2 linked regions of the Oreochromis niloticus genome follow. The protein of the gene in region 1 binds, or shares a complex with, the protein of each later gene. Links are inferred from orthologs where the notes say so. Each region holds a gene or a part of one and is shown on either strand. Other genes may lie near its edges.

What was found. The genes of interacting proteins can lie anywhere in the genome.
Region 2: rrn3 (region 1) and taf1b share a complex: the UniProt entries of both Homo sapiens proteins name them as parts of the pol I pre-initiation complex. The link is inferred for Oreochromis niloticus from reciprocal best matches to the Homo sapiens genes RRN3 and TAF1B.

The regions. Positions count from the first base shown.
Region 1 is NC_031969.2:6,416,901-6,423,797, reverse strand, and holds the start of rrn3 (RNA polymerase I-specific transcription initiation factor RRN3), read right to left. Parts: upstream 3,014-6,897; 5' UTR 2,790-3,013; coding exon 2,694-2,789; intron 2,451-2,693; coding exon 2,394-2,450; intron 2,321-2,393; coding exon 2,231-2,320; intron 186-2,230; coding exon 56-185; intron 1-55. UniProt on the Homo sapiens protein: Required for efficient transcription initiation by RNA polymerase I (Pol I). Required for the formation of the competent pre-initiation complex (PIC).
Region 2 is NC_031980.2:25,316,321-25,323,516, forward strand, and holds the start of taf1b (TATA box-binding protein-associated factor RNA polymerase I subunit B), read right to left. Parts: upstream 3,014-7,196; 5' UTR 2,842-3,013; coding exon 2,824-2,841; intron 2,098-2,823; coding exon 1,999-2,097; intron 1,739-1,998; coding exon 1,654-1,738; intron 1,584-1,653; coding exon 1,486-1,583; intron 1,419-1,485; coding exon 1,326-1,418; intron 931-1,325; coding exon 837-930; intron 733-836; coding exon 573-732; intron 490-572; coding exon 390-489; intron 314-389; coding exon 166-313; intron 62-165; coding exon 1-61. Other genes in the region: adam17b (disintegrin and metalloproteinase domain-containing protein 17), read left to right, coding at 4,472-4,556, 5,307-5,439, 5,529-5,662, 5,912-6,000, 6,072-6,252, 6,820-6,950, 7,027-7,113, 7,192-7,196. UniProt on the Homo sapiens protein: Component of RNA polymerase I core factor complex that acts as a GTF2B/TFIIB-like factor and plays a key role in multiple steps during transcription initiation such as pre-initiation complex (PIC) assembly and postpolymerase recruitment events in polymerase I (Pol I) transcription.

The DNA.
Region 1 (6,897 bases):
TACTGTAACACGTGTATGAATCATGATTACTTCAGTACCAGTCAGAGTAACATACTGGGGGTGAAGTGGGAGACCACCATGTTAAGGCAGGCACACAAGTAGACAGTCTGTGCCGACACCAGGTTACCCAGAAAGGCCAGGTACTCGTCCACCACAGCCTGGCTCCGGCCCAGCCAAGGAAGCCTCTATAAAACAAACACACACACACACACACACACACACACACACACACACACACAGTGTAATGTCTTCCAGCATATAAACACAATCAGCTTTTTGGACGTCTGCTGATTCACACCACATGAAGACACCTAAGGCCAAATAATCCACTGCTAGAGTTAGAAAGTACTTTATCTTCGACCGTATCAGTGGACTGAACGGTTTAAAATGTGTAACAAAATAACAGAATAGATGACACATTCTCAACAGTATATCATACTGACAAAAGTTTGTTTGTCCATGTTAAATCAACCACGGCTTTTCCCGTGAATTTTTTTTTTTTCATTTTATATTTGACTCTAATATTGGTCCTGATTCAAACTTGAACGCTGGTGTGGGGAATCAGTGATCAAGGGTTATTGTCTGGTTACTACAGGAGCAGAAGGCTAAACGGGTGTGGATTAAACTAAGAACAACGAGTCAGCGTTCTGGATGTGCGGTTCTCTCTGCAGGTCTGATCACAATAATACTTTCCCTGTCAACTGTAGAGGCGACTGTTGTTGCGATTTGGTGCAATATAAAGAAAATTGAATTTCATATTGGAATGAGGTCATTACAAATTTGGTGAAGGCATACATGTTCTATATCTTGTATATCTACCCTCTTTTTTCTTGGCTCAATTTAATTTCTTTGTTTTATTAATACATACTAGTTTAAGATGTTGCTTTAAAAAGCAAATGACCTCTCACCCACACTGAGGAACAGGGCTAGGTTATAAGTTATATTAGTTTTATAACAATATTTCAAAGAAATATGCGATAATATTCATGACAATATAATAAAAATATACTAATCAAGGTATTATCAGTGTAGCTTGCAATAGGCATTTATTTATTAGAGAAAACAAAATAAAAGGCATTTCCATCCTCTTTTTTTTTGAATGAGTCTATAATGACAGACTGCCTCATTCAAAGTTTGAATTTACTGCCACAAGAGGCCAGCAACAGCATTACAGTATGTTATTTACAGTCAATGCAAGTCAATCAAATACAAGAACAAAACCTGCCTAGGTCCTGTTTTTAGGCTATAATAGTGCTGTGAAAAAGTATTTGCCAAATTCCTGATGACTTTTTTTTTTTTTAACATTTACATGTTTAAGATCAAACAAATTCATTTTTTCTCTCAGTTGTGGGGTAGTTTGGGTGGGTTGCGAGGCAGCAGGTCCTACACAGGCCAGTTTGTCTTGCACTCGCTTTTTTTGTCTGTTGCTGATGGAGTGGATGGCTGGTGTGACGGCTCAGTGTGCAGATGGGCCCCAGACCCGAGGACTACAGTTCATCCTGTGTTTGATTCTATATGTTTTTCTGTCAGGTGACATTTGTTCTGTAACTGTGGTGATTAGTGTGAGCAGTAAGTTAACTTGGGGTTTGCCCTGCGCACTCACATGAGAGGGGTGGTGTTGGCAGTATCTAACTAAACTATAATGGGCATTTCACATGTCATGTGAAAATCCCACAATAAAGAGAAAATTCATGACAGCTCCAACAGAAACATTATCAAATAAATTTAAAAATCTATAGAACATAAAAATATACTGGTAAAATGCAACATGTGATCAGTGCTGCAGAAACTGGTTAATCTGGTCATTTAGTGCACTGCCTGCACTCAGTGCTGCTGTTTAGGTCTAAAGTAACAGCTGCATATTAAAAGCTCTGAAACTTTAAAATGGATCCTTTTAAAAATTAAAGCTTATGCCTCTTTTCCACTCGTACCTACTCTGCTCGGTTTTGGTGATTTTACAATATAACTGAGTACCACCTCAATGTTCGTGGGGTCGTTATAGCAACACCCAAAAGTCCCATGAGCTCATTTAAACGCTACACAACAATGGCGGACACCGAGGCAACGGTACATCTGCTGCTAAGCCGTCTGCTTGCCATGCTGACAGGCTAATCAGCAGCATGCAGTTTGTTGATGTGATGTTTGTTTTAGATCGACTCAGATCACTTGGACCCCCGGTGGAGTAAATATAGTACTCTTCTCCTTGCATCATGTTAATATTTACACTCACCAGTATAGTATAAATGAGCTGTTCATGATCCTTGGTCAGGTGGGTCACACAAGTCCGAAATTCTTGCAGCCAGTTGATGATCTGAGCATCCTGTCGGAGGAGAGGGCGTTCACTGAGAAGCAAAGTCCACCACACCACAGGGTGCCCTCACACTAATGCTTACCTTTATCTCAGGATCAACCAGCTGATGTTTCAGGAGTTCATAATCACTCGAGTCTCCCTTAAAAAACAAGGAGAAACAGCTCACCAAAAAAGCAGTTCACCAAAAGCGTAGGAAACATAGAGGTGTTTGTAAACAACTTTACGAAGGTCAGCAGAATCCACAGACAGGCCAGCAGGTGGGTCTAGATTCATTTAATAACTTAGTGGACCATCTCGTAGATGTGTCACCAGAATCAACAACCCTAAATAAATATCTCTCTTTATCATTTTCCAAGAATGACAACCCTAAGATATAACTCACGTGTTTGTGTTTCTCTAACGTCTCCGCAACACTACCTCCAAATCTGACCGTCTTCACAGAAGGGGTCTTCAGAAAGTCTCGACCGTCTATTTCCATAACCCACCGGGCAGCTAACGCTGGTCTTTGCTTGTTAAGCTGAAAGACAGAGCTGGAAAGGAGACTCGCTCGTTACATCTCTCACACCGTACAGCTCTCGATACTGTGGCGTTAACTAGTTTGATCAAAGGAAACACGCTTCCGGAAAACAAACTCCAGGACGTCCCGTCCAAAACCACGCGAAAGTAACAGGAAGAGAACTGCGTGTTTACGGAAGTGATTGTTCGGAGCAGGAGTGTCACATTAAAGGAGAACGTTCAAGGAATCCATTTCGCTCAGGAAGGTTCCTACCTGAGTGAAGTAACTTTATTGAGCTTATGTACAAACAAACACAGGCTGTGAGTCAAGGCTCACACCGTAACAATAACACAGGCTGAACAAATACAACAAACGAACAAACAAAAAGAATAAATGTAGCTTTTATAAAGCAACAAAAAAGGAAAGAAAAGCAGAGTAAACAGATTAAGATAAGATAAGATAGCCTTTATTAGTCCCACACGTGGGAAATTTGTTTTGTCACAGCAGGAAGTGGACAGTGCAAAAGTTATGAAGCAAAAATTAGAATACAATAAGAATAAATACAGTACACAACTGTACTGTACAGAATAGAATAAAATCAAAGTTGGATCAAAGATAACACATTTTTAACTCACTATCACAGAGCATGCAGCCATTTACATCAATTTTTATCAACTCAGCCTGATGAAATTATTATCATTGGATAAATTTCATGTATCCAACTAATTATATGCACCACTGACAAAGAAGCACATATCATGTAAATGATCATTATAATACTTCCGTTATACTTAGGTGTACTCTGTTAGTTTACTTAGTTCATAGTTGATAGCCCGTATTATATTAGTATGAATCTTAAAGACCTCATACTACTCTATATTACCCCAATAGAGCACTCGCTCTCACACTGCAGGCTTACTTGTGATTCCGCTCCCAGTTTGGATTCGTCATACAACAGTATTTTTTCTAACACTTTAAACAATATCTTACTGTTCAAATAAGAATTTTTTTTTTTAAATAGAACTAGAACAAAAAATAAAATCATTAAAAGCTGCCTAATGATTGCTTTGCCTCACCACAAGAACACATTATTAACAACCCAAGAAAGCTAAAACTAGAATTACATTAAGTAATTACCAAGAAAACGCAATTTCTGATGCAAAGGCTGTGTTTGGCGTGCTTTAAACAAGGCAATAAATCTGGAAAATTCTTTGCAAAGTTAAAACTAAATAAAGAAATAAACAACTATTAATTCTATAAAGGATTTGACCAGAAGCATTACTTATGATCCTCAACAAATAAAGAAACCTTTGAAAGACTTTTATATAGCTTCATACTCATCACAGTGTCATCTCCAGTGACATCTGATGCTGTCAGATTTGGGACTCATCTGCAAGACCACCCTTTGTGGTGGGGGCAGTCTTATATATACCCCCCTCCCCCCCACACACTCCCTCATACAACACATCACTCACACACGTAGGATCTACGTGTGTGAGTCATTACAGTTCACTGTCCTCCCCTCAGCCTCAGGTCTTCAGCTGGAGAGGAAATGGCGTGTCACAAATTTAGAGGATCATCATTTAGCCTGGAGAAATAGTTTGCTGCTTTATAAGAAAGCCCTCCGCAAAGCCAGAACATCTTACTATTCGTCACTGATTGAAGAAAATAAGAACAACCCCAGGTTTCTCTTCAGCACTGTAGCCAGGCTGACAAACAGTCAGAGCTCTACTGAGCCAACCATCCCTTTAACGTTAACTAGTAATGACTTCATGAACTTCTTCACAAATAAAATTTTAATCATTAGAGAAAAAATTACCAATAATCATCCCACAGATGTAATATTATCTACAGCTACTCTTAGTACCATTGATGTTAAGTTAGACTCTTTTTCTCCAATTGATCTTTCTGAGTTAACTTCAATAATTACTTCCTCCAAACCATCAACGTGTCTTTTAGACCCCATTCCTACAAAACTGCTCAAAGAAGTCCTGCCATTAATTAATTCTTCAATCTTAAATATGATCAACCTATCTCTAATAATCAGCTATGTACCACAGGCCTTCAAGCTGGCAGTAGTTAAACCTCTCCTGACTCTCCATTTACATGAACAAATTGGAGTCTATTAGATAGATATGATACAAACCACTGCAGCACAGTACCTGTAGTACCTACAGCGTGCTCTAATCACTCTAATAGGATATTATGGTCAACAGTATCGAACGCTGCACTGAGGTCTAGCAGGACAAGCATAGAGATGAGTCCACTGTTGAAGCTTGAAGGCCTGTGGTACATAGCCAATTATTAGAGATTGAAGCATAAATGCAGACACCATTTTATTTAGACAGAGATGGTTGTAAGTAACCCAGAACAGTTGGAACACCTGTAGGAATTAGTAGCACCAGCTTTCAAGACTTGAACCGCCGTTGCTGCAGAACAGCTTTAAATCGTTAACTCATTTTGTGTTCCCTGAAAAAGGCCTTTTTGTATAATTTTTGGGTAACCATTCTTTTTTTAAAACCTCTGTCAGTTCACCACTTACCTTTGTACCATTTCAAGCTATCCATTGAACTTCAACGACTTAAATTGCAATAAATAACTGGAAAAACTGGGGTGTTCTAAAACTTTTAACTGGTAGTGTGTGTATATGAATATATGAATGTGACAGGTGAGACCTGAGACTGGGAACCGCCCTTTGTAGGTGGGGCTGGGTGGTTGATTGGTGGCAATATTCACTTTCTTTGGGTGCCAGCTCATGGAGGAATCAGTGGAAATGATTGGCGGCGGTTGAGCACGACTGTTCCATGAGTGGGTCAGCTGTGTGCAGCTGGGAAGACTATGTTGATTTAGACGAAGAAGAGGAAATGCCTCTGGAGCAAATGCAAAGTGAGCAGAGGAGGGGAAAGCGTAAAAGAGGTGGGAGCAGTAGTGGTAGGGATGATTCTTTAGAAGCTAGAGAGAAAATGTTTGCTGTTCTGAGATTTACCGAAAGAACACAAGTCAATATTAAAAAACTGAGTCAGTTCGTGTTGACAGCTGAACTTAACAGTAAAGTGGGAGATCTAGTTTCTGCTAAGGTACTGTCAGATGGAAATCTTCTTGTGCAATGTGTAAATGAAGAGCAGTTCAACAAGGCTTTGAACTTAAAGCAGTTGGGGAAGTTTAAAGTGGAAAATGTTGGGCATGTGGGTGCACAGACAGGAGGTGGATGCAAGGGGGTAATTTCTGGGGTCCCCATTAGTGTGAAAATGGATGATCTGAAAAGAAAAAATCAAAGGAGGAAATGTGATTTCTGTGGGCAGGTTGAAAGCAACAAAAGAAGGAATTAAGGTAGATAGTGAAAGTATCCTGAGACACTTTGAAGAAGGAAATCTGCCAAGGAAAGTGTTTTTGGGTTTCATCAGTTATCCAGAATGAGCCTACGTTCCAAAACCTCTGAGGTGCTTTAACTGTCAAAGGTTTGGACACCTAGCGAAAAACTGTAAGGAAAAGAGGAGATGTGCTCTGTGTGGTGGAGATCACGAATATGGGAAATGTGGAGATGGAGTTCAACCAAAGTGTTGTAGTTGTGGTGGGAGTCACAGTGTTGCGTATGCTGGATGTGAGAGAATGAAACAAGAAAATCATATTCAAAAAGTGAGGGTGGAGAAGAAGATCTCCTATGCTGAAGCAGTGAGGGTGATGAGAGTGAGTGAACAGGTCAACGTCAACCCAGGACAGGGTACATCTCGGGGTCAAGGAGTTCCCCAGATCAACACGAATGGTATGGTTATTGATAAGATGGCGTTGGTTACATTCATTGCAGGAGTGATAAACACCACAGCTGATGTGAAATCTAAGCAGGAGAAAATTCAGCTTATTGTTAAGCCAGGGCGATTAAACACTTGGGTTTAGTAGGACTGACATGGGAAGAAGTGAGGGACAACCTCAATTATCAGTCAAGTCAGGAAGCATGATATTATTTTATGTACTCATGGTACTTATCCTTTAATGGAATGCAAGGAGTCTGTTGGCCAATGGCCAAGAGTTGAAGCATTTCATCAAACTACTTAATGTTAAACCGGATGTTATTTCTGTCCAGGAATCTTGG
Region 2 (7,196 bases), on another chromosome or scaffold:
AGCGTTTGATCCATCATACCGGTGTGCTCCAACAGCCTGCAGACCCAGGGGTGGAGCTCATCTGACAGGAAACAGGCGTATACAGGTACACTCTGTCAGTGTTTGTATGTAAAGATGGTCGCCTCCAGAGACCACTATCGGTCAGAACACTGGAGCAGTTGTTACCGGGCAGGTTGACGTCGGACAGGTATCTGAGGCTGAGCAGCGCCGGGTGCAGCAGGGTCTGCCGACTGACTGGAGGAAAAGCAGGAAGCTGCAGGAACTGAATGATAGTCTCGGCCTCCTTATGAACGGCGTGATGAGACGGGACTGTCTGCAGAAACCAGGTGAGAGCTAAGTCATGCATCATTACCGGGGCCAGGTAATAAACAAGATGGCGGCTTTCTCACCTCGACTATGAAGATGAGGGAGTCCTTCCCTGTGACTTTCATCTCCTCGGGAAGCTGCTCATAGGCGTTCAAGTACGGGATGTGACCCTCATTCACAAGCCTGCAAAACATCACGTTCATTCAGCTGAAAAACTCTGGTTAAAAACCCTCAGCCACACAAGTGCAGGTGGGTGCAAGCGTTACCTGAGCAGGTCGCTGAGCGTCAGCGCCTCACGGCTCCATACCAGAGCCAGGTAGATCAGCGCCAGTGTCTTCTTCATGCTCAGCAGACTCTGGCTCCGCTTCTTCCTGGCCGACAGGTAGGTGAGGGTGTCCGAGGAGCCGGACCAAAAACCGGAGTTCTCTGAGGTTAAACGAGCAGTTCAGCTAATGCAAGAAACCTCATCTGGTCATGTGAAACTTTTACAGGAGCTTCCTGTCAGACTGAAAACGCTTCCAGCACCGTACCTGTGTTTGAGCCCGCTGTGCTTGCTGGGTTCGACTCGCCGTCTGTGCAGCTGATTGCCTCGCTGGCGCTCTCCGAGTCCGAACCCACGGCTCTCTGAGGATTTAGATTTAATTATTAAATCTCAAAAAATGAAATGAGTCAATAAAATGAAATCAATAAACTAAAAAATAAAATAAAAAAATAAATAAAACTTAGTAGATGAAGTAAAACATAAAATTAAAAAAAATGATTAAATATACAAAAAGAATACAAATAAAAAAATTGTGAAATAAGAAAATAAAGAAAACTAATCAAAATTAAGCATTAAAAATACAAATCAAATCAAATAAAAATACAAAAAAGAAAACAAAATGGATTTAAAAACAAACAAACAAACAAACAAACAAACAAACAAACAAAAAAACATAAGGTGAAACTGCCAGAAAAAAAATAATGCAGACGAGCAGTTTCCATGCACCACCCGAACCTCCGCTACCATAAAAACTCACCACTCTGAACTTGCAGCTCCTCACAGGGTCGTGGGTATAGGCCTGGCGACTTTTCTGCAGGTAACACCTCCACAGAGGACACAGCACGTCGTCCTAAAACAGTGACACGAGTCAGGCCTCTAATTGGATGCTTTGTGGTTAACAGAGAGAGGAGGCGGACCTTAAATTGAGGACTGACTCCGAGCGCGAGCAGAGCATCGGCCTGGTTCTTCAGGATGAACTGGAAACCCTCGCAGACCATCCACACGTGACCACGCTCTAAGACAAACAGACATGTTAAACAGGATATGACATCATCGATTTATGCTGCTGCTGATCGGACACTGACCGGCCTGCTTCTTGCGGGGTCCTCTGATGGTTGACACCCTGCTGGACAACTTTAAGAAGGACAGGTCCACCACCTCCCGGGTCCTCTAAGGACACAGTCACATGTTAGGCAGCAGAATAAGGAGGTCCTCTACACGTGGGCTTAACCACCAACACCATATTGTTAAAAGAAGCATCTTAAAGCATGTTTATGGAGTTCTGAATTCCCTATATCCCCATAACAACTTCACACTCATCCACCTGTGTAGTAAAAAGAGTGTCTCTGAAAGGGCACTGAAGAGACCCTGACACCTCAACCTCCAGCTACAGACCACTGTACAGGTCATAATGATGAAGATGTTTTTACCTCGATCACGTTGTGGCAGGACCTGCAGTAGAAGCGACCCTCGTCCGAAATGCCCCAGTCCACCGCAGAACACTGGGCACAGGGCACCGTGTACTCGGCCTGCACGCGCGCACGCACGCACACACACACACACACACACACACGTGGTAATGTTCAGGTGTTTCTGTAAATATTTTAATGAACAAATTAATCTTTCAGTTTAAAAAAAAAAAAAAAAAAGTACTTTATGTATGTAATGTTCACATTTAAATGCCTTTAAAAACACATTTATGTGAAACTGCACAGCAGCGCCCACGGGAAAGAACAACAATTAAACCTCCAGATCCCAAACACTTCACCCAGAAAAGCCTAGACGTCATTAACAACGATTGCTAACACAATCCTTCTGTGTTTATCGGGAATCATTTTTTGTGTTTTCATTTGTTTACTTTAGGGCTGCTTTGAGACTTTGAGTACTTCGACACACAATGTAGTTTAAATAAAAATTTAAATCAAAACTCATTAAGCGTTCACAGTTATTGGTACTGATAGACGGATGAGTTTATTTCAAACATTATAAATAAACTGTCGCTGATACTATGCTAACGGATTTTAATTAAAGAGAACAGTTATTAAATGTGTGCCGATTAACTATTCAGCGGCTGCACAGTCACACAAACCCGTTAAATGTCTGAAGTTAAAGTTGGAGACTGAATGTCGTGCCAATCATCTTAAAACACTAATATTTCTAATGGAGTTTGATAAGACCGAACTAGCTGACAACTGCGTTCACCGTAGGTTGCGTAAAATGAAACGAACTGTTTATGAGAGCACCGCGGGACTCACCGTATGTTCGTCATCCATCCCGAGTGGAAAACTGCAGCTTTAACACGAAACTTTGGATTTTATCGGCACTTCGTTACAACCGCACATGCCTCTGGTCGGAGATACTGGGATTCTTCTTCTTCGCGCTTGATTTCTGGGAGACTGAACGCCTCTCTGCTGCAACCACAGGCCAGATTACATACTTCAACTGCTTCTACTCAGCTGTAAAAATAAAATAAAATAAAATAAAATAAAATAAATTAAATACGTTTTATTTAAATATTGTTATAAGTAAAAATAAAAATAATACATGTGTTAAATGTGTTGGTCAGAGGGCCGGGTGGCGCCAGTGTCCGGCGCCCCAGGGTGGCTGTGGCTACAATGTAGCTTGCCATCACCAGTGTGTGACAATGTGTGTGTGAATGGGTGGATGACTGGATGTGTAAAGCGCTTTGGGGTCCTTAGGGACTAGTAAAGCGCTATACAAATACAGGCCATTTACCATTTACCATTAAAAATAACAAATGATAAATGTGACTTTTATACTTATTTTTAAATCTCCTAGTATAAATATACTGTGTATGAATTTTCTGGATGTTTCTCAGTCACTTTTAATCAGGAGAGTTTTTCTTCCTCCAGATGATGATGATGATGATGAAGAGTTCCTGATGTGCTCTGTGTTTCTAAGCGGATTTGATGAGGTCAGAGGTTATAAATAGATGCCAGATGTCTCTCTGATTCTCTTATATAAGCTGACCCCCCCCCCACACACACATACACACAGAATAATAGTTTGATTGATTTTTATTATTGATCTAACTGAGGCTGATCAGCTGTCATCAATCACTGTCACGGGAATGGTTTCGCGACTTTTTGTTGGACTCGCGCAAAGTTTACAACAAAACAAACACAAACGCCTGACGGATTTTCAAAATAACACGTGCGGGCAAACACTTTGTGAAACATTTCTAAAACAACTGAAGGTTTGATTCTTCCATTGCTATTAAAGAGGGCTATACAACACAGACAACCCACTAAACAAAATTAAGATTAAGATTAAGATGATTATTTATTGATTTGAAACATATTTGTATGCATACATTACTATTTGTATTTGAAATTGTGTAATTTTATTTGTTATTTATTTCTCTAGTTAATTTCATTAAATGAATTAAATGTTGTATTATATTTATTACTTTAAAATGAACTTTTTTACTTACGTTTTAGTTTTAAAGTTTCGATGACAGCACTCCACCTCCAGTCTAAAGGATTACCATCATTAAAATTTATTGGATTATTGATTATTAGCTATCGTGCGTTTGTTTTCGACAGTATTGATTAATAATCAAATGTACCCTTAAAGTCCCTTGCTTTTACTGTGAAAGCCCTCGGGCCTCCTTCCGCCCTCCTTCCTCGGCTCTCGGTAGCTTCACTCGGCCGCTCTCGGGCTTCCTGGTTCGGCGGAGTGGGGGCGTTTGTTCTGCCCGTTTCCTCTGCCCGTTTCCAAACACAACAAAGACTCGAGTGGGGTGAGATTTAGTGAGGTCGGTCCAGAGATGAGCTTTAAAGCTGACGTTTGTTTCTGAGCTGCGGTCGGAGTTTAGTCTGATGCTAGAACGCTGAAGCGAGCGGCGGAAGGTCTTCATTTAGTCCGTCCCGACGGTTCAACATGCGGCTGATTTTCGCCTTTTTAGCCGCTTTCACCGCTTTAACGGAGGCCGCCGTCCCCCCGGACAAGACGGAGCAGGACTTCAGTGAGTGTTTAAAACTGAATTTAATCGTAAATGTGTCCTTTGTGAGGACCGCCGGTCCGCTGGAAAAGTTCATGTTTGAGGCAGAAGGTATGGAGGACCGCTCATGCCAAACAAAAGTTTAATTCGCATAAAAATCACAGGTATTTAAATAAATGGCTGAGTCCAGGAGCATTCAACTTGATCATGATAGGAGTTTATTGAATTAAAATAAAGTCAAATGAGATTAAAAGTTAACATTTTGACCAGAGAGATATAACTATAGTTGAAAAAAAAAATCACAATACACTAACGTGGAACAACTGTGGGTTTAGAATTTATCTTAAAAATAAAAAAGTCATAAATAAGAAGAGAAGTGTAGGGAGTGAATTTTGACTTTTAGGAAAGAAAAAGCAAAACCTAAGAATAATACTGTGCCATAACGATGTTGGCATGACATCACATGTCACTGGTTTGTAATCATGATGTCATCATTTGACAGGAAATGAGGCGATGAAAAGTGATGAGTCCTGAAGTTTAATATTTTAACTTCTTTTATTGTTACAAACTTTTTCTTTTCATAAAAGGAAAAAGTGGATGAAAAACATACATTTATGTTAAATATAAAGTCAGCAGCATTTTATTTGTGTTAATTATTAACTTATGTGTTGATTTTGGTCACGTTTTTGAGGCACGTGTTGGCGTGTGGTGGAGGAGCTGAGGTATTTCACAGGATTTTCAATGCTAACGGGCAGGTTTGCGTTCTCTCTGTAGTGTCTCTCAGAGCGATGCTGGATGACTTTGATGTGCTGCCTCTCTCCAGCCTGCAGACGCACTCCGTCCGCCGCCGTGACGTCCAGTCTCAGACGCACATGGAGAAGCTGGTCAGCTTCAGCGCCCTGCAAAGGTAAGATAGCGGCATCCGTCCGTGCAGCTCGGTGCCATTTTAAAATCTTTGATTTGTGAAATCTGAACATCTCCTCCTCGTGTCTACAGGCATTTCAGACTCTACCTGAGGACCAACGACGAGCTCTTCACCAGCGACTTCAGAGCCGTGGTCATCAGCGAGGATGGCCAAGAGCGGACCTACCCGGTCAACAGGCACAACTACTTCACCGGACACGTCATCGGTAAACTGTTTAAGCAGAGCCTTTGTGGAGGTCTTTGGGGGTAGAATTCTACTAATTGGTTTCTTGTAAAGCTTGCAGAGTAATTTAAAAAAATCCCCAGATGTCCTTGAGAAGGTTCGCGAGGCCTTGTCAGGCTTCTTGTAGATGTTGTCAGGCTGCTACTTCAAACACACGTGTAGAATGCGTGTGGTGACCTTTGACAGGATTAATATGGAGTAACGGCTCCTTTAATGTGTTTTTGTGTTGTAGGGGAGGAGAACTCCCGTGTTCAGGCGCACATCGAAGATGACGAGTTCTCCGCTCACATCCTGACTGATGAGGCCGAGTACAATGTTGAGGTAAACACCTGAGACTTGGAGTAAGCGCCTGCTGAGTGATCGGTCCCTAAACCTTCCTCTGCTCTCTTCAGCCTCTTTGGAGGTTCACGTCGGCGCCCTCTGACGGTCGCCTCATAATCTATCGCTCGGAAGACATCCGCAACATCAGCCGCCTGCAGCAGCCTTCGGTCTGCGGCTACGTGACCTCTGACCCCAGTGACCTGCTCCCTGACAGCGTGAGAGCAGCTGTGGTGGAGGAAAAGGAGGAAGAAGGTGAGAAGCGAGGTCCTCGCCTGAACTTGGCACTGTGACTGCTTCCTGTTTGAGGGTAAAGCTCACACTGACCCAAAGCGACCACGCCCAGGTGACACAGGAACTGCGTTAACCACAGAGACAGCGAGAACTTCCTGTCACTGCGCAGCACAAACGTGAAAGTCCAGTGAAACACCTTCATCTGAACTGAGTACAGAGCGAGCGACACAAACAGGAAGTCAGTCAGAAAAAAGACTTTTAATGTGAAAAAAATAACAAAGTAAAAGCTGTTTAAACAAAAGAAACAAAAGAGAGCTTGCCATCCCAACAGGTGAAATCTTATTCCTGAAAAGTTTGAGCTTTAAATGGGGAAAAAAACCAAATCTGAAAAAGTGCTCTTAAGGTGGGGGAAAAAAACGATTTAAAAAAATCAGGTTTGGGTCAGAGAACAGAGATATTACAGTGAAAACATATATTTTCATATTTGACACACTCAAACGCTCATAAATAATAACAAATAAAAAAGAGCTTTCAGTGTCAAATGTATAAATAACATTGTCTGACGTGTTTCGGTGGTTTCTTGTTTAGAGTCGGCGTTCAGAGTGAAGCGTCACGTGCACGACCACAAGAAGAACACGTGTCCTCTGCTGCTGGTGGCCGACCATCGCTTTTACAAACACATGGGCCGTGAGGAGGAGAGCACAACCCTCAACTACCTGGTCGGTACCACCTGTACATCCATCACCCCCGCCATCCACTGACACTTAACCCCACCCCCTCCCAACTGTGTTTCAGATTGAGCTGATCGACCGTGTCGACGACATCTACAGAAACACGTCGTGGGGCGAGGGGTTCAGCGGGTACGGCGTCCAGATCCAGCAGGTGAGCATGCTCTGTTCCGCTTCCTGTTTGTGTTGTCCCACTGTGATTTTTAACGTGAAGCTGCGTTCCTGCCATCAGATCAT